Bombyx mori: one gene and its partners. The main gene of each other region encodes a partner of the protein of the gene in region 2 in a complex. Links are inferred from orthologs where the notes say so. Each region holds a gene or a part of one and is shown on either strand. Other genes may lie near its edges.

Region 1 (6,421 bases), on a different chromosome or scaffold from region 2:
CCTCGCGTGGAGTACTGCTCTCACCTCTGGGCCGGGGCTCCCAAATACCAGCTACTTCCATTTGACTCCATACAGAAACGGGCTGTTCGGATGGTCGATAGTCCCACTCACGCGGATCGCTTGGAACCTCTGGGTCTACGGAGGGACTTCGGTTCTCTCTGTGTTTTATACCGTATGGTCCATGGGGAATGCTCTGAGGAATTATTCGAGATGATCCCCTCATCTCCTTTTTATCATCGCACCTCCCGCCATCGGAGCAGAGTTCATCCGTATCTGGAACCGCTGCGTTCATCGACAGTGCGTTTCCAAAGATCTTTTTTGCTTGGTACCATCCGGCTTCGGAATGAACTCCCCTCCACGGTGTTTTCCGAGCGCTATGACATGTCCTTCTTCAAACGAGGCTTGCGGAGAGTACTTAATGGTAGGCAGCGGCTTGGCTCTGCTCCTGACATTGCTACGTTCATGAGCGACGGTGACCACTTACCATCAGGTGGGCCGTATGCTCGTCTGCCTACAAAGGCAATAAAAAAATAAAAAATATAATGTGCCATGCTAACTATCTGTTTGATTTTTAATGTTAAGCGTACCAACAACCAGTAAAACGTATGATTAAATTGTTGATGGATAGCAGACAACACAAAGCCAACATGGGAAATTTCAGTCTAAAAAAATTTAATTTTAACTGTTGATTTATTTATATTTAAAAAGAAAAGTATCTCTGTTTGATCAAATCGACATGTACTAATGTTTCTCAACCTCTAAAGTTCTTATAGTCTCATATTTATTACCTGCATTGGGCATTCAACCTAAGGGGCTAACGGTATCTCAATCTATTACAATAACAGTTTGAGCTATGGTTCGATAGCTGTTGGTTTTAGGAAAAACGAGTATGTGAGTTTGAGATAGTGTTTTTTAAGAAGTATCGAGTTGATGATGTTTATTTAATAATACATCCCCGCAGACTATTGAGATTCAACCTATAATCATATTTGTAGACATTAAATAGTCATGGCGCCGCAATTCCAAGGAGTATCCCTGCAATCTTCCGAGAGTATCGGGATACTTGGGGTCAACATTTCGAGCGATGTCCAGTTTCGGAGTCATTTGGAAGGCAAAGCCAAGTTGGCGTCCAAAATGCTGGGAGTCTTCAATAGAGCGAAGCGGTACTTCATGCCTGAACAAAGGCTTTTGCTTTATAAAGCACAAGTCCGGCCTCGCGTGAAGTACTGCTCCCATCTCTGGGCCGGGGCTCCAAAATACCAGCTTCTGCCATTTGACTCCATACAGAGGATGGCCGTTCGGATTGTCGATAATCCCATTCTCACGGATCGTTTGGAACCTCTGGGTCTACGGAGGGACTTCGGTTCCCTCTGTATTTTGTACCGTATATTCCATGAGGAGTGCTCTGAGGAATTGTTCGAGATGATACTATCTGGAGCCACTGCGGTCATCCACAGTGCGTTTCCAGAGGTCTTTTTTGCTACGCACTATCCGGCTATGGAATGAGCTTCCCTCCACGATGTTTCCCCGTGCGCTATGACATGTACGTCTTCAAACGAGGCTTGTGGAGAGTATTAAGCGGTAGGCAGCGGCTTGGCTCTGCCCCTGGCATTGCTGAAGTCCATCCACTCACCATCAGGTGGGCCGTATGCTCGTCTGCCAACAAGGGCCGGAAAAAAATTATTGTAATCTCATAAATGCTTTTTTATGGTAGCTTAGTTTTTATATATACACAAGGTTCTACAATAAATACTGGAAGAACGAGTAGTGATATTGTTTCATAATCGTAAAAATATCAGAAATGATACTATACCACTAAAAAAAAAGTAAGTGACCATAACATTGTAGAAAAATAACGTAACAACGTGAAGAAACTGAATCCGAACAGACTATTATGAACAAGAAAGACATGGGGCCATGCATGAAGTTTAATAATTAAATTAACCTCATGCATGGCGCACTTCGGAAAACATTTTTAAATTCTTGCGATGGCAAGGACATTAAATGCGTACATCTACACCTAAAAACAAAATGGCGATTGAGAATTGGCGCCTTTTTGTTTTTTTTTCACATCTAGCAACTATTGAATAGTACCACGTGAACTACCTCATCCAATCAGCTGGTAAATCCAAAAATCCCGCCTCTTGCATCGTTTCCTTCTCGTCCCGCGCTGCGTTGGTGATGGTGCTTGGATTCGCGCATTTAATATACTTTAATTAAATGTTAAAAGTTTATCAATGTTACATATATTAATAGAAACTTTAAACTGTAAAAGGTTCATTTATCGGTTCAAAAATTGGCTATAGTTTTGGTTCTAACCCATATTTTTGTCGCCATTTTGACCTGTGATTTTGGTCATACGAATTGAGTAGGTATTATTTAATTTGTTTCGTCATCAACAATTGTCCTACGTTGTTCTTATGAAACATAAATGGACGTCCAAATTCAAGGAGTGTGGAGAAAATGTCCCAAACTAATAGTACAATAAATTACCTTATCCATGATGCTAACGGTTAGTAGAGGTGCTACTTTAGTTTACGTGACACTTGTTTTTCCTATCGGATTTAAGACTTTGTATTGCAAACAAAGCCTAGATCAATTGGACCAAACTCAAGACTAGTAGCTTAGCTTTAGTTATTATCTTCGACGCCTTTTATTCTGCCGAAATAAACATCATCACAGCGTTTGTTTATTACGGAGATATTTTTTGTTTCAATCAGCTGATGGCACCGACGCTTCAGTAAGTCTTTAATTTAGATTATAAATACATAAAGACTCGATGATATGTCCTGCAGGACTTCCTCAAGTGGTGAAAGTGCTGGAAACTACAAGTAAACCACTGATTGCTCAAATCGAAGCAGAACCGAAAGAGAGTCCAGTTAAAATTGTTACTGTATCACCTGTTCCGGTCAAATGTGCAAAGGTATGATTATTCGCAATTTTTTTATATATGAAACCACTATATGTTTTACATATATTATTATAAACATTATTTATTTACGCTTCATTAGACTAAACTTTTAGTTAGAGTAGTAATGTATATGTTGAATAAACTTTTAATAAACAGAACGAACGAAATGACATGAAATATAATAATAATTACTTTCCTTTGTCACTGTGGTTAACCTAAGCTTTTGGGGTTCTAATATAATTTAGATTTAGTTGGGTGAACTGAGCCTACCTATGCCCTTATGCCCTACTGTAATTTGATTTGAATTTGAAAAATATTCTACAACTAATGAGGACTCCCTAGTTCTTGTATTTTTTTATTACTAGATAGGTGGATGAGCTCATGATCCACCTGGTCTAAAATGGTTACTGGAGCTTATGGACATCTACAATGTAATTGCCTCCATCCACCACGAGACTAGTTCTAAAGTCTCAGTACTTACATCTTACATAGGTCAATAGGTACCAAACCAGAATTAGCAATTTGATTATCATTTACCATTCAGTTTTATATGAGTATACTCTTTAACAGATACCTGTTCCAGCCAGTTTTGCAAGATTTGGAATTGTTCAATACAAACAAAGTAAGTTTTCAGCATGACAGGGTTTGTTGACAGAAAGTAGAAAGTAACCAAGAATCCTATTTAATATATAACTGTATATTTTATTGCTTAGATGGCTGGATGAGCTCATGGCTCACCCGGTGTTAAGTGGTTACCGGAGACATCAACAGTCAATGCCGCCGTCAACCTTGAGACACAAGTTCTAAAATGTCAGTTTTTACAGTATAATAACATATACTCCACCCTTCAAAGTGAAATGCATCTGCTTCACAGCAGAAATAGGCATGGTGTAATAGCAAATAATTTAGCTTCTTGCATACATTTGAGACTTCAACCTCATTTCTCAATGTAATCATACATGTAATTTAGTGCTTTGCGAATTGTTAGGTACATCTACATCCAAAAAAATTTAATAAAAATAAAGTGAGCAAGTAGTAATGAATGTCAAATATATACAAATTTAGGAAGTATTTTGTTACTAAAATTTTGCACACTATATTAATCTTAGTTCTGGGTGTTTTAGTATCACTGTTTACAAGTATCAATACTTCTGCTATGGAACATAATCTAATTTTTAATACATACATACACTATAAAAAGAACATCTTGATTGACTATCCAATATTAAAATAATCCACATGATGGTGGTAATTAATGTTAGATAAGCTGATTTATGAACAAACTTATATAATTTGAATTAGTCCATCAATTCACTTCATTATACATTTCAAAATTATGGTGAGAAATTATGCCTACAATATAAACATACATATAAATCAATAAGTATCACCCCTCTTAGAGATCTGAAGTTGTAATATCAATTGTTTTATATAAGGGCTGTCCGGCCCATCAAACCAGAACTCTCGACTGCTTTGTGGCAGAAATAGCCAAAATAGTGATATCTATTTACTCAAGTGGTCTTAAGATACTTCCCACTAACAGATATTACACAATGTCTTAAGACACAATAAGATCCAAATGATTAATGGAGGTTTTGAACCTTGTCATAGCCACATCACTTGATATAAATTCATCAGGTGTCTTACGATTCCGATTTCGCAGTGGAGATTTTCCTGTTGAGTCTGTAATTATTGTCACCACTGTCTAACCTTGTTCTTAAAGGCTGTTTTGCAATAGTCAAAGATCACGTTTACTAGTCTCTATACAGTAAAAGTTTATTATTCGCGGGGTTGAAGCATAATAAAAATATGCCGCGAATACAGTAACCGTGAATAGGGAAGGGTAATTTGCGTATATGGAGGTTATAGGGGACTCTTCGCCTCGAACTCGACTGAACGACGGGGGTGCCACACCACCGAACATCCCCCGGTGTGATAGTTCCCTGCCGGAGATCTACTTTGCACAGTGTGCAGTCAGGTGGGAACTCCGACTCCTGGACGTTCATAAGTCGAGTGGGCCAGACGGCAACCCTGCAGTGGTTCTAAAAACGTGCGCCCCTGAGCTGACGCCTGCGCTAACGCGTTTGTATCGCCTCTCTTATTGCACTAACAGGGTTCCGTCTTCATGGAAGACCGCCCACATCCACCCTATCCCCAAGAAGGGTGACCGGTCGGACCCATCGAGCTATAGACCTATCGCGATAGCTTCATTGCTTTCCAAGGTGATGGAGCGAATAATAAATATACAACTCCTGAAGTATCTTGAGGATCGCCAGCTGATCAGTGACCGGCAGTACGGTTTCCGTCACGGTCGCTTAGCTGGCAATCTTCTTGTATACCTTACTCACACAGGTGGGCTGAAGCCTTGGAGAGCAAGGGTGAGGCTCTTGCTGTGAGCCTTGATATCGCAAAGGCCTTCGACATGGTCTGGCATAGGGCACTTCTGTCAAAGCTACCATCTTACGGAATCCCCGAGGGTCTGCAAGTAGATCGCTAGCTTTTTGGATGAGCGGAGCATCACGGTCGCTGTAGACGGTAACTGTTCTGATACCATGACCATTAACGCTGGCGTTCCACGTGTATATCGATGACATGCTGTCTATTGATGCCATGCATTGCTATGCGGATGACAGCACGGGGGATGCGCGATATATCGGCCATCAGAGTCTCTCGGAGCGTGGTGTAAGAGAGACAATCAAAACTTGGAAGTTGTCTGAAGTGGAGAACTCTCTGTGGCGAGTCTCCGAATGGGACAACCCGTTAAAAACACAAGTTTGCGCGTTCACTGCAAAGCAGGACCCCTTTGTCATGGCGCCGCAATTCCAAGGAGTATCCCTGCAACCTTCCGAGAGTATCGGGATACTTGGGGTCGACATTTCGAGCGATGTCCAATTTCGGAGTCATTTGGAAGGCAAAGCCTAGTTGGCGTCCAAAATGCTGGGAGTCCTCAACAGAGCGAAGCGGTACTTCACGCCTGGACAAAGGCTTTTGCTTTATAAAGCACAAGTCCGGCCTCGCGTGGAGTACTGCTCCCATCTCTGGGCCGGGGCTCCCAAATACCAGCTTCTTCCATTTGACTCCATACAGAAGAGGGCCGTTCGGATTGTCGATAATCCCATTCTCACGGATCATTTGGAACCTCTGGGTCTGCGGAGGGACTTCGGTTCCCTCTGTATGTTGTACCGTATGTTCCATGGGGAGTGCTGTGAGGAATTGTTCGAGATGATACCGTCGTCTCGTTTTAACCATTGCACCGCCCGCCTCCGGAGCAGAGTTCATCCATACTACCTGGAGCCACTGCGGTCATCCACAGTGCGTTTCCAGAGGTCTTTTTTGCCACGTACCATCCGGCTATGGAATGAGCTCCCCTCCACGGTGTTTCCCGAGCACTATGACATGTCCTTCTTCAAACGAGGCTTGTGGAGAGTATTAAGCGGTAAGCAGCGGCTTGGCTCTGCCCCTGGAATTGCTGAAGTCCATGGGCGACGGTAACCACTCACCATCAGGTGG
Region 2 (6,455 bases):
AGCGAGTTAAAATAATACAATGATTGGGGTCTCCTTTTAAGCGTGCAAGCCTGTACTAAGAGACCCCGCTTACGAATCTTGCTTATTATTTGATTGATTATTATTATTGGACAAGAAAAACTTAGGTAACAACTGAAAAAGTACTAGAGAGATAGATGTATCTATTCCGAACATCCTACCACATGGCGTTTGCAGCAGCGGCGAAATATCGGAAACACGTTAAAACTAACAATCGTAATCAGAACTTTATCTAGTCATGTAGTAATTTGGAAAACACTTACTTGTACTCCTGGCGCATGTGGGAGCATTCTGAGATTCTCGAACAGTCTATTTTTTATCTTTTCCAGATATTCGGGTGTGTTTTGATTGGACATGTTACTTGGTGATATGTGTAGTTTGAAATCGGGCCCAAAGTACTCAAAGTAGTCATTATATGGTAGTTCATTGGCTATTTCCACACCAAGTGCAACAGATGTCTCGTAAGTCCAACAGCGAGATACATTACGTATGGTATATCTGTGAAATTTATTACACATGAAGCAATGAAAAGATGGTTAAAGAAAATAGTCTAGTTGTTGTGAAAAAATTAAGAGATTACATTATTTTGACCTAGTAATTTAAATATCTTAAGTAGTAAAGATAATGATTCAGTTTCTATCTAAAAGTGAAACATAGTCTTATATTTAAAACAACTTACCCGCCTCCGCCGACTAGTAAGAATGGAAGTCCAAACCTCTTGACAAGTTCTACACAGCGTCCATGACCTCGAACAGTCAAGTTGAAACAACCCAATCTGTCACCTTGTATAATAAAAATAGGTATTTTAGTTACAGTAATTAACTAAATTTTTATTATTTAGTTATTAATTGGTATGAGTGATTTTACGACATTCAGAATCAATTCAATTTCATAAAAAATTAGATTAAGCAAATAGCTTGGACAAATAAAAAGTGACACAAGAGTTATAAAGTTAGAGTTATTATAGTTACCTGTCAGAGAATCAGCACCACACTGTAGTACTACAGCACTTGGTTGGAATGTCTCCATAACTTTAGATATAATGGGAACAAAGATAGACTCATATGACTCATCATCCATTCCATCACGAAGGGGTATATTTACAGCATAGTATTTGCCTTTACCAGCACCAATGTCCCGCAAATCACCTGTAATATTATGATAATCAATTATTGCCATATATAAAATCTTTATAGGAAAACCCCAAGATGAGATGAGATATCTTCGAGATAATTTAATTTTTTTCTCCCAGTAGCAGTTTTTAAATGAGTCATATTACTCTTTTGTTAGATCAGAAAAATGTACAATCATTGTAAAATTGTGTACACACCTTTTAGATGTAGAGTGTACAGTCAGCGCTGTATGTACAAGGTAACAAATGCAGTGCTGCAATTACTTATCTTTCTCAGTTTCATGTGATAAAAAGGTACAAATATCTTTGTGCTAATCATTCAATATTACTCAAATAAACTTTAATGTTTTGAACAAGTTTAAATAGAAATAAGTAATGTAATCACCTGTTCCAGGAAAATATTCTCCATATTTATGAAAGGAAACGGTCATTACTCTGTCCGTGGTGTAGAAAGCTTCTTCAACACCATCACCATGATGCACATCTATGTCAATATATAGTACTCTTTGATGGTATTTCAGCAACTCCAATATGCCAAGAACAATGTCATTAACATAACAGAAACCTGACGCTTCAGACTTCTTTGCATGATGGAGGCCACCACCCCAGTTTATGCATATTTCTGAGGCCTAAAACAATTTATTTTTTTTATTTTTTATTAGGCTCACAATACACATCACAAGCTAAAGATACATAAAAAACACAAATAAAAAAAAAACAAAATCTGGCTTGCAACATAAGTTATGTGCGCACGACAAAACTATAAAGTGCTGAATTTGTATATCAACGTTCCTTACAATTACGACAAAACAACACGATAACGAAAACTAATCTAACTTATAGTGTAAGGAAAAAAAAAATTATAACAATAATAAAATCAGTACAAACATGTTTTAATTTTATAGTTATAAATAACTATAAATGAAACCTATATAACTATATAATTATAAAATTAAGAAAACTTGCAGAATCAAATTAGAAATCTCACAAGATAAGAAAAATCTATTGTTTTATTGTTTTAAAATCAATATAAACACAATTTAAGTGTTCTATTCATCTCTGACACAGTATCAGTTAATATCAGGTTGGGGCTCATCTGTCTTTAACCATTTTAAAGTTAAAACACTAAAAAGGTAAAATTATAATAATTTTAACAAATGAAAATAATACTTTCTCATTGGCATATGTAAGTAGAGGATGTAATTAAAACTACTTTTATTGTTTAATGTCATGTATACAATTGCTGTTATATTATTTCTGATTTTTTAAATAAATTACAGTTTTCATCGCCACTAATTAAACTGAAAAACTTGTTTTAACAAAATAAAATAAATAAAAAAATAAGACTAATTACCTGCTTATTCAGTTTTACAGCTGCTGCAACTGAACCCCCAGCAGACAACTGACAAAATTCATACAGGCCATCAAAAACAGGACAATCTTCACCTACATTAACTGCAAAATGTATATTAAAATTAGTCACATTCAATAAGTTGAATATTTTCCATATCATCCCTGAATGTGATCAGGCACTAATAAAGGTATGTAGTTTATAGGATATTACCCATCAGTAGATTGAGGGATAGGTCAAAAATAATTTGGTTGATGCTTTGAACTATAGGAACTTTAACAAAAAACCAATAGGATTGTACACCATTTTCACCATACTCTTTAAATAAATATGTACATTATAAAGGTTTTCTTCCTGCAATAAACAGCAGATACATTGGTTTCAACTAAACAGGCTGCAGACAAGGAGAGTGCTCATACAGGAAAGTAGTTTTTTTTCTTTATAATTTTGGTATGTTATATCTATACTTATCAAGCAGTGTGACAATTGACTGACACAACTAGATGCTGTGGTATAGTCAAAGATTTGAATTTAGGAATTTTTTTCAGTGTCATAGCAGTGAATCAAAGGAATTTTCCACAATTTTACACAAAATATGCTGTATTCAATCTATTATTTTCATCATCTTTTTATACAAATTATGAATATAGTAAGATTCCACTGTAGTAGATTCACATTATTGTAAGCTGAACATAGTTGAAACTGTGGGACAAATCTATTATAATATTATACACTGAAAAAATATAGTTTAATATAAAATAACACACTAAATAAGTAACTCTACTGTTATATTAGCTTTAACAGGTAAGTCTTCAAGGGTAATACATTTTCATTAAAGCATTTATGAATAATTAATACTTTTTTTAAATAATATTGATAATAATTAGTAATAACTTACATCTCTGCATTTGTTTGTTGTACTCAGAAACATTGTCAGGTCGAATAGAACGCAGGAATCTAATGTAATCATCTGAATGGAATTTTGTCATTTCATCAGCTGTGGCTTTGTGAGGCCTCTGTTTAAAAATATATAATTATAAAATCTCAAATCATTGAAGAACTTACACTTAAAAGGTAATTTCAGTACTCACATAAATCTCCATTTTTCGATAGAGTCCATAGTTGAGGAGTAAATTGTGGGTCATACGTATGCGGTGAGGTTTCATTGGATGCCCTTGTCCGTAATAGTAGTTTCCAATATCGCCTTTAATAAAAATAACACGCATTATTTTCAACTTTTTATTAACATGTTACTTAAATCATTTTACGGCTTCATATTTAGCCGTCTGTACCTCGTACATCGTAATACGAGCAAGTCCGTGTACCCAATAGGAACGCGGAACGCTGTACAGACGTCGTAAAATGAAACAATGAACTGAGTTAACAATGTCATAAAAATCCTAAGACAAGCTTTAAAATCTCTGAAGTTCTTAAAAGAGCTAGGCCGTGTGGAAATTTGTATTTAAAATATGAATACTACGCATATTAATTATTTATAATACAAAAACTAATTCTTAAGTTACTAGCGATGTAATGGAGATCCGTGGCGGGTAAAACTTTATTTTACTTACTGTCATAATAGTAACACACTCTTTTCTTACTGTGCGGTTGCATAGACATTTTTAATTATTTCTTCAACGGTTACTTTTTAATAAAATTATTACAATATACTTAAAAATGTTAAAGAGAAATAAAAACCACACCGCTGTGCTTTAATTTGACAATCCACACAAAAAAACTTCATAAAATAATTGAAAGATGAACAAAATGCAACTTCAGAGTACGACAATTTCATTACAGTGAAGTTGACTGACCTAAAAGTTACAGATATTCAATGAACGAATGAATGAATTGATTAAATTGAATGATTTTTAGTAGATTAAATATAGAAATCAAGTGAAGCCACAGTTCACAGTAGGTAGTAGCATTACAATCATAAGCATGAATTACTTGGCAGCTAGAACAGCCCCTTAGGCCAGCGATCGGCTTGCGGCTCGCATGCTGCTCTTTAGCTCCTCAACTGCGGCTCTTCCGCGAAATGTTTACCTAGTTCAGGCACGGAATATCCCTCATTATCTTATTTTTTTAAGAGAAGAGCAAACACTTTTAAAATACAAGGTTATAAAATTCTGTTAGAAAAATGGTTCTTTGATTAAATTTCAATTGTGTGTCTCTCTATTTGGCTCCCAGGGAATAGGCAGGGGAAAAAAATAGATGGTAATATTAATAGATTTTTATTGTTAGTAGCATTTTTTTTATTGCTTAGATGGGTGGACGAGCTCACAACCCACTTGGTCTTAAGTGGTTACTGGAGCCCATAGACATCTACAACGTAAATGCGCCACCCACCTTTCTAAGGTCTCAAGTATATTTATCTATATTGTTCAAGGTAGCAAGTTCAAGTTCCAAGTGGAAAAGTCTATACTGAGGGAAAATTTTCATATCATCATCATCATCATCATCATTGAATTTATTGGCAATATACTTATGCTGACAACCATACGGTCTACTTGATGGTGTGTGGTCACCACAATACACAACAAAACTTACCTACTGCATTTTTTATATAAAATTTAATAGAACCATTCGTAGAATTCCGCACGTTGCCTCTTATGTTATTAGAAATACACGGTCAACATAAAGGATACGATATTCTAAAAAACTACCACAGCTGAATCTTTATATATATATATATATTCATTTTTTTAGCAATTCATTTATCTATATATATAAAAATGAATTGTTGTTCTAACTTAGTCTCGCTAAAACTCGAGAACGGCTGAACCGATTTGACTAATTTTGGTCTTGAATTATTTGTGGAAGACCAGAGAAGGTTTAAAAGGTAGATAAATATGAAAATGCTCGGAATTAAATAAAAATAACAATTTTGTTTTTCCTTTGATGTGTCCCCGGTCGGGTGAATTTCTTTTTTCTTTCATTGATCGATTGAGGTACTACGAAGTCTGCCAGGTCAGCTAGTTTTAAATAAAATTGTAACAAAATGTATCTTTGGGAATTGAAAGATTGAAGAAGCTGCAGTTTACGGCAAGTGCGTAATTTTATACTCCTTACGTACATTCCTAATTATGTCCAAGGAAATGGTAGAATTCACCTTGGAAGGTAGAAGAAACTTAGGAACTAGAAATCATATTAATATTGTAACACTGAAATTAGTTCACGTGAACTTGTAGCAAAGGTTTCAGGAATTTGTACCTTAAAAATTTTCATTCTTCAATTCAACTTAAGGATGTGTAGCTATTTAAAATCGAAATACTATTGTGATTTCGAAATTGAATATATCTCGATACCCATTTTACTATTTTTACTCATTTTGATATAAAGTTCTCCTATAATTTATTTCATTGCTTTACCCAAGTCAAGATAAACAGGACGATCAAATTTATTTCAACATATGGACTTTAAATTCGAACTTCATTTATTAGAGATGATTAGTAGTAGTAGGTTAATGCAATATTTTCTTGTAGATTATTGATTCGTAAATAATTTAAATTCCAGGTAAATCATTTACATTCGGAAAAATAAAATATGGCATTGAAAAGAATTTAGAAGAAGTATACAAATAGCTGTGCTTACCAATGAAGCTTGACTACAAAATGTATTTTTTTAATTTGTTTTGTAGTTTGTATATTTTTTATTTGGTTACTAAAGAGCCTTTTGGTTTTACCGAACTAACTCATGTATACAGGGTGTCCCAGAAAGAATGGATAATCCTGAAAAACCTATTGGGAACACAAAATAAAAAATAAAATAACAAATTCTCAGGTAGTACCCAAATTACTATTTAAAAAAGAAATTTATATTTTCCATACTGCTGTGCGTTTCTGGAATATACAACAGCTACAAATAAATGGAATCTACAGGCTTTTGGTGTTATAATATTCTACATGGACTATACTAAGAAATATGCAGGAAATCGTTTGAGTAGCCAGTGTA
Region 3 (6,567 bases), on a different chromosome or scaffold from region 2:
CTAAAAAATAGAATATAAATTTTAATAAATTTCAATTGAAAATAGTGAAAGAAATATATATTTTATTTATAAAAAAGCGTGGGGTGCTTTTAAAGATATTATTGAATAATAATTCTTCTACTCATATCTGTCAGAAAAATATTTATAACTAATAAAACCATGCACCCCACGCTTTTTTTACAATAATATAGGTATGTTTTTTGTTACACTATTTTCAATTTAAATTTATTAAAATTTATTTTCTATTTTTAGTTAAATTTTATATAAAGCGTGTTTTTTAGTTTTTTTTTTAACAATTATTTATTCTTTTTTCGTGTGGTATTTTATTTGGATTTCGAAAGAATCACAGACTTAACATTAAACTACTTTTTACTTTTTTCAATCTCGTGTTTCATTATTTTAATTTTATTGTTTCCGACGTATGGAATGTTTTACCGGGTTTTTAGGGATCGAACGAACTACTATTTTGTTGTTGTCACCGGAACTAATATAATAAATATAATAATCGGATATAATAAAACAAATACTTTTTATCTTAACGTTTCACTTTTACTTTTCAATCCGCTTTAAATAATCACATATACCAGAAAAACGATTTCGTAGTTAAGCTAACTTCTGAACACACACACACACACACACACACTTGAAACTATTTCATTATAATATACATATCTCTATTTATCAACGAATTTTACATAAGCGATTTGAATGAGCTTGTTGTATAACAACTGATAAACAATAGTTACAGGATCGATTTTGAATTTATTTTAAAGATAAATAAATCCTTTATAAAAATGACCTGAGTGTCCTTTACCGTATCTCTTATAGTTTAAAAGTTATAACAATTTATAGCTTGACAAATTATGTAACGGCTGTAATTTCATTATCATATAATATCTAAAAATGCTGTAAAAAATACAAATTTTTTTTTTTCTATATTTTGTTATGTATGGTTGTTTTTGTAATTTTTTGTAGTCTTCGAAAAAAAATATAACGATTAATATTATTTTTTTATAACAAATTGTTAAGTTAATAAACAATGAAATTATTTATAAAAAAATGTATTTCTTTGTTAATCCGCTGAAAAGAGTCAATGATGATTTTTAAGAAAAAATAATTTCTTAACTAATTATTTAAACAATTGAAATATGAAAAAAAACGATTTTAAACAATTAAAACATTTATTTAAGAAATTTTTTTTTTTTAAATCTTTATTTCACCTATGGAATAAGACGGTAATTTTTTTCTTTTTTTAAATCCCAAAATAGTCTATTTATTTATAAACAATTTCTTAACAAACAGCGTAAAATTTTTTTTTTAAATGTTAATTAATACCTATTGTGGATGCAAAAACAGCAATATTAAGATATTACGAAAAAAAACTATTTTTCATAACATTTTTTAGAAATTTAATTTTTCTGTTAATTAAAAAAAATTATAATTACTTATCAAAATAATAAAGATTAAAAAAATTTTTTTGCTTAACTTTATTAAGTACTTAAATGATAAGAGCTCCACGAAGGGAAAAATTTATAGATGAATTATTGTAACTTTTATACCGTAATTTATAAAAACAGAGATTGGAAAAAAGTTAGTTAATTAACAATGGTGTAAATTTTTGAAAAATCGATATAAAATTTTTTTTTCACCGAGGTTTTTTTCGTTCAAGTGTTTAGATTACACCATAATTTATTCAAATTTTTAAATTGTTATTTAATACTATAAAAAAAATATTTTAGGTGATATACCGGCTTTTTAGACGGCGCGCCTATGGCGTAACGACCTCGCGGAGCGCTATTTTCAGCGTTAATTTTTTTTTATAAATAATAGAGATAGAATTCTGGAAGTTGGGACTTTTTTATTGGAAATTTCCTCCTCTTTCAGGATCTTTTTTTCAAAATTCCTTAAATATCATTATTTTAGAAATAATTAAGGAAAAACCAAATTCCTTTTTTTTTAAATCTTATTTTGTTTATAACAATCGCAATTTTTTATGTGCTAATAAGCCCTTAAAAAACATTTTTGTAGACATCATTCCGCATCCAATGAGCTATCGTACATATTTTTAGGAGCTTTATGTCTATTTAACACGTTTTTGAACTTGTTGACTAGACTATTATATTATTGTTTAATATAACCATAATATGTTCCCTAACTATTCGCTAGTAGCTAGCTCACGGGCTCAACCTGAGAGAATTTGCTAACACTAGGCATAACAAGAGCAGTACTTCGAAGAATCTACCACCGGATCGGAATCGCGACCCACTGAGAAGATCCGGCGGGAAACTCAGTGGGCAATACCATAATACCTAATAGCAGTTTCGAAAAAAGCCAAAACAACTTGACACTTACCTCTTTGGTCCAAGGGCCTTTGACTAGTTCAGGGTTGACGACTTTCGTCCATCTTTGAAGGCACTGAACGTCGGAACGGTCAGGAAACTCGGCCGCTATGCGCTCCCAATTCTCTTTGTAAGTCCTAACATATGCTTTTAGTTTCTTGTCCTGAAAAAGAAAGCAAGATTCTTAAGTTCAGGTCTGTATCGACACTACTTTTTTTTTATCCTAGCTAAGCTGAAGGTCTTGAAAGACCATTTCAGCGCAACCTTAACTAGTAGGTGAGCTCACGGGGCTCAAACCTGACGATGTTGCTAACACGAACCCTAACAAGAACTGTGCTTCGCAGAATCTAGCACCGGTTCGGAAACGCGACCCACTGAGAAGATCAGGCGAGAAACTCAGTGGGCTGTGTCTGTTTAATCCACACTACCGACTTAACACCTGAGCTCCCTAGTTACTATGCTGAGTTGCGCCTATCTTATGCCAATTTCTACCGCAAACCAATCATGTGTTCCAGTTTGAAGAACATGTTAACATGGGTGTACATTGTACTATGGTGCCCATAAGCTCGATCCTTCACATCGGATGGATCGTGAGCTCATCAAACGATCTATGACCCTCAATTTCCCCAGTGACTGGACAGAAGTTACCACTTACGTTCGGAAACTAGACTTTTTCGTCAACAATAAAAGAAAACCCATGAGATGAATTCCTTTGTAAAATTACGACACAAAATTAGTCCGCAGCGATTGCGAATTCTTACTGGACTGGAATTATGTAAGGTAGTTCCTTCATTGTACTTCATAACCGGTTATTCAATACGCGATAATGCACGTGGAAAATGTTGGTTTCAATGACTCTCATTACATTTGAAAAAAAATTACAACAAACTAGCCTATGTGCAGAGATGTATTATGTAAAACTCGTTTTTCGGAATTCAAATTAGCCGTTTTCAGACTGCAAAGGTTATTGTTTTGCATAAACATATGATTTCAAATGAACAAGCATTTATAAGATTGTGTAAGTAATTTATAAGGGTAGGTACTAGCCGACCCGGGAAGCTTCTTAGTGTCTCAATCGATAAATAAAAGATCTAAACTTTTATATAGAATAAACTTACAACAAACAAAAGGAATCCGTCCGACGGGGAAGACATCAAAGGAAAAACAAAATTGTTATTTTTATTTAATTCCGAGCATTTTCAAATTTATCTACCTTTTAAAACCTTCTCTGGACTTCCACAAATAATTCAGGACCAAAATTAGCCAAATCGGTCCAGCCGTTCTCGAGTTTTAGCGAGACTAACGAACAGCAATTCATTTTTATACATATAGATAGATAGATTGATTTGAAGCAGTCATTCGATGCAGTTTTAAGTACGGGATAACCGTTATTCATTACAATTGAGGATCTTATCTCGTGTCTGAATGTGAAAGCTTTAACCCTGTGACGTCTTTAAACTCTAAAAACCATGAGGCTTTGTAGATTTATTGTAACTTCTCATCTCCTTTACTGGGCCACATTTGAACAGACCAAGTGATGCTATTTGCTAGAGCCTAGCGTTCCGTTATCGATTCCAAGGGACTGATGAACCGCTTGGTAAAACCAAAGCCAAGCCTAATACCGAATCGCGCCGTATCCAAGAAGTACCACCACGACTGTTGGGCAACAAAAACGCGAAAAATCATTCCTCCAAATTATATTTGGGTCATAGCCCCAACATTAACGCAAGAATTTCAAGTTCAAGAACGTAAGCCATTTCATTCTATTATTAGATACAAGACGTTTACGGACATTTGAGTTTTGCGTTGGAACATTTCTAAGCATTACCTCCTCTTTACTCCACCTTCCCCTGTTGATATTCTTCCTCGACCCAGTGCTTTTGGTTGAAGTCTGCACATCCTCGTAAGCCGCCGTCGAGTCCTCTGAATATTCGCTCGTCTCGCTGTCATAGCCGCTTTTTCTGTTGACAATGAACATTCAGAAGCTATAGACAAATGTGACATTAAATTTTAATGACGATATTTTTTTTTATTGCTTAGATGGGTGGACGAGCTCACAGTCCACCCGGTGTTAATGGTTACTGGATCCCATAGACATCTACAACGTAAATCCGCCACCCACCTTGGGGCATAAGTTCTAAGATCTCAGAATTGTTACAACGGCTGCCTCACCCTTCAAACCGAAACGCATTACAGCTTCACGGCAGAAATAGGCGGGGTGGTGGTACCTACCCGTAAAGTGTAATATAAAAGTAATTCCACAGATTGGCGACTGGCCTAATAAATAATTAGCACATACGCTTCAAGGACTAGTCGTTATCCCTTTCTCACTTAGAATTTGTGTCACGCTATATTAACCTAATAAATACAAAACCAAACCTTAACTACCCAGTTTCATACGTAGCATCATACGGAATAAAGCACGCACACAACATTTCTTATCTCAGAAGACATCATTTTACAAAGAGCTTACCGAAACACTGCCTATCGCGATAAGGACTAAGGGACCTTCATGTGTATAGCTAAGAATATTCACTTTTGTGGACACATCCACGAGTGTCTTATTGCTGTGTATTACGCTTTTAAAAGTATGATGTGTGGTCTATTTTTGTAACTAACTAAAAACGATTCATTATAATTCCAGATGAAATACAGGTTTGTAGACGGATTGTTGCCGACAAAAGATATCGTGGTACAGCAGTGAGTTTCTCGTTTGATTCGGTTAGCATGATATAGTTTTTATTGTTGTGTGAATAAATTCAAAAATTTTCTTACAAAGTAAAAACAATTCTTATTTAAAACTAGACGAAGACAAAGCTAATGATAAAAATAAAGCCTTACTAAATGCAATTTTTGATCTAATAGATATATGAAGTTAAGAATGTATTTCTTTACTGGTGAACCAACGAAGTTTTTTTTTTATTGCTTAGATGGGTGGACGAGCTCACAGCCCACCTGGTGTTAAGTGGTTACTGGAGCCCATAGACATCTACAACGTAAATGCGCCACCCACCTTGAGATATAAGTTCTAAGGTCTCACAATAGTTACAACGGCTGCCCCCCCTTCAATCCGAAACGCATTACCGCAGAAATAGGCGGGATGGTGGTACCTAGCCGCGTGGACTCACAAAAGGTCCTACCACCAGTAATTACGCAAATTATAATTTTGCGGGTTTGATTTTTATTACACGATGTTATTCCTTCACCGTGGAAGTCAATCGTGAACATTTGTTGAGTACGTATTTCATTAGAAAAATTGGTACCCGCCTGAGATTCGAACACCGATACATCGCTCAACACGAATGCACCGCACATCTTATCCTTTAGGCCACGACGACTTTAAGGACTGTTGACAGCGACATACAGTGATGCGTTACCTTAACTGGTGGGCACAAAACACAATTGGTCAAATCGTCTACACCAGTCTACTCCAAGTAATTAGACTGTTGAGTCGACCATGACCGTGAGCCATCTGTCAAGAGGCAAAACTTAAGCAACGATTATCCATTCCCAAAGCCAAAAGAATTTCAAAAAGTGCTATGTCAATTTCCAAAAAAATATTCAATGAAAAAAATAAATTAACATTGATTTTATTTGTGCATTTCAACATTTTACTGGTGGTAAGACCTCTTGTGAGTCCGCGCGCACGGGTAGGTAACACCAATCTGCTTGTTTCTGCCGTGAAGCAGTACTTAATGAGTTTCGGTTTGAAGGTTGGGGCAGCCGTTGTAACTATACTGAAACCTTAGAACTTATATCTCAAGGTGGGTGGCGCATTTACGTTGTAGACGTCTATGGGCTCCAGTACCACTTAACACCAGGTGGGCTGTGAGCTCGTTCAACCATCCAAGCAATAAAAAAATAATTAAATAAAAACCCTCAAAATGACCAGAATAATTCAAACGGCTTATTTGCAGCCCGCGCCTGTGGTCTTATGTAGAACATAAATAATACAATAAGAGAATTGAGATTTTTTATAGCACGTGAATTTGGCGATATAACAGGAAAAAAAAAACAGCCAATAGAATAAAATAAATATCAAAAATATTAGTCGCTCTTATCAGCAATAAGCGGTAGACACTTCGTAATGTTTGCAATGTTTTCGCCATAACTACTGTTATTAAAGACAAGTGTCCGGAGTGATTATATTAGTATCTATTGTAGCGTGAATTAATACATAATAAATATACCTACACTAAGATTTTCGGCAAGTTTTTTACGTTAATGT

The links. Proteins that work in one complex are often made in the same cells at the same time.
Region 1: histone deacetylase HDAC1 (region 2) and transcription factor Dp-1 share a complex: the UniProt entries of both Drosophila melanogaster proteins name them as parts of the DREAM complex. The link is inferred for Bombyx mori from reciprocal best matches to the Drosophila melanogaster genes HDAC1 and Dp.
Region 3: histone deacetylase HDAC1 (region 2) and Myb share a complex: the UniProt entries of both Drosophila melanogaster proteins name them as parts of the DREAM complex. The link is inferred for Bombyx mori from reciprocal best matches to the Drosophila melanogaster genes HDAC1 and Myb.

The regions. Positions count from the first base shown.
Region 1 is NC_085110.1:8,924,668-8,931,088, forward strand, and holds the start of transcription factor Dp-1, read left to right. Parts: upstream 1-2,104; 5' UTR 2,105-2,463; coding exon 2,464-2,512; intron 2,513-2,795; coding exon 2,796-2,923; intron 2,924-3,481; coding exon 3,482-3,533; intron 3,534-6,421. UniProt on the Drosophila melanogaster protein: Component of the DREAM complex, a multiprotein complex that can both act as a transcription activator or repressor depending on the context. In follicle cells, the complex plays a central role in the site-specific DNA replication at the chorion loci.
Region 2 is NC_085117.1:13,609,758-13,616,212, forward strand, and holds the start of histone deacetylase HDAC1, read right to left. Parts: upstream 4,337-6,455; 5' UTR 4,122-4,336; coding exon 4,073-4,121; intron 3,706-4,072; coding exon 3,593-3,705; intron 3,518-3,592; coding exon 3,400-3,517; intron 2,606-3,399; coding exon 2,505-2,605; intron 1,780-2,504; coding exon 1,536-1,779; intron 1,167-1,535; coding exon 990-1,166; intron 801-989; coding exon 698-800; intron 517-697; coding exon 282-516; intron 1-281. UniProt on the Drosophila melanogaster protein: Catalyzes the deacetylation of lysine residues on the N-terminal part of the core histones (H2A, H2B, H3 and H4).
Region 3 is NC_085134.1:9,633,981-9,640,547, forward strand, and holds the start of Myb (Myb transcription factor), read right to left. Parts: upstream 4,318-6,567; coding exon 4,168-4,317; intron 2,503-4,167; coding exon 2,353-2,502; intron 1-2,352. UniProt on the Drosophila melanogaster protein: DNA-binding protein that specifically recognizes the sequence 5'-YAAC[GT]G-3'. Component of the DREAM complex, a multiprotein complex that can both act as a transcription activator or repressor depending on the context.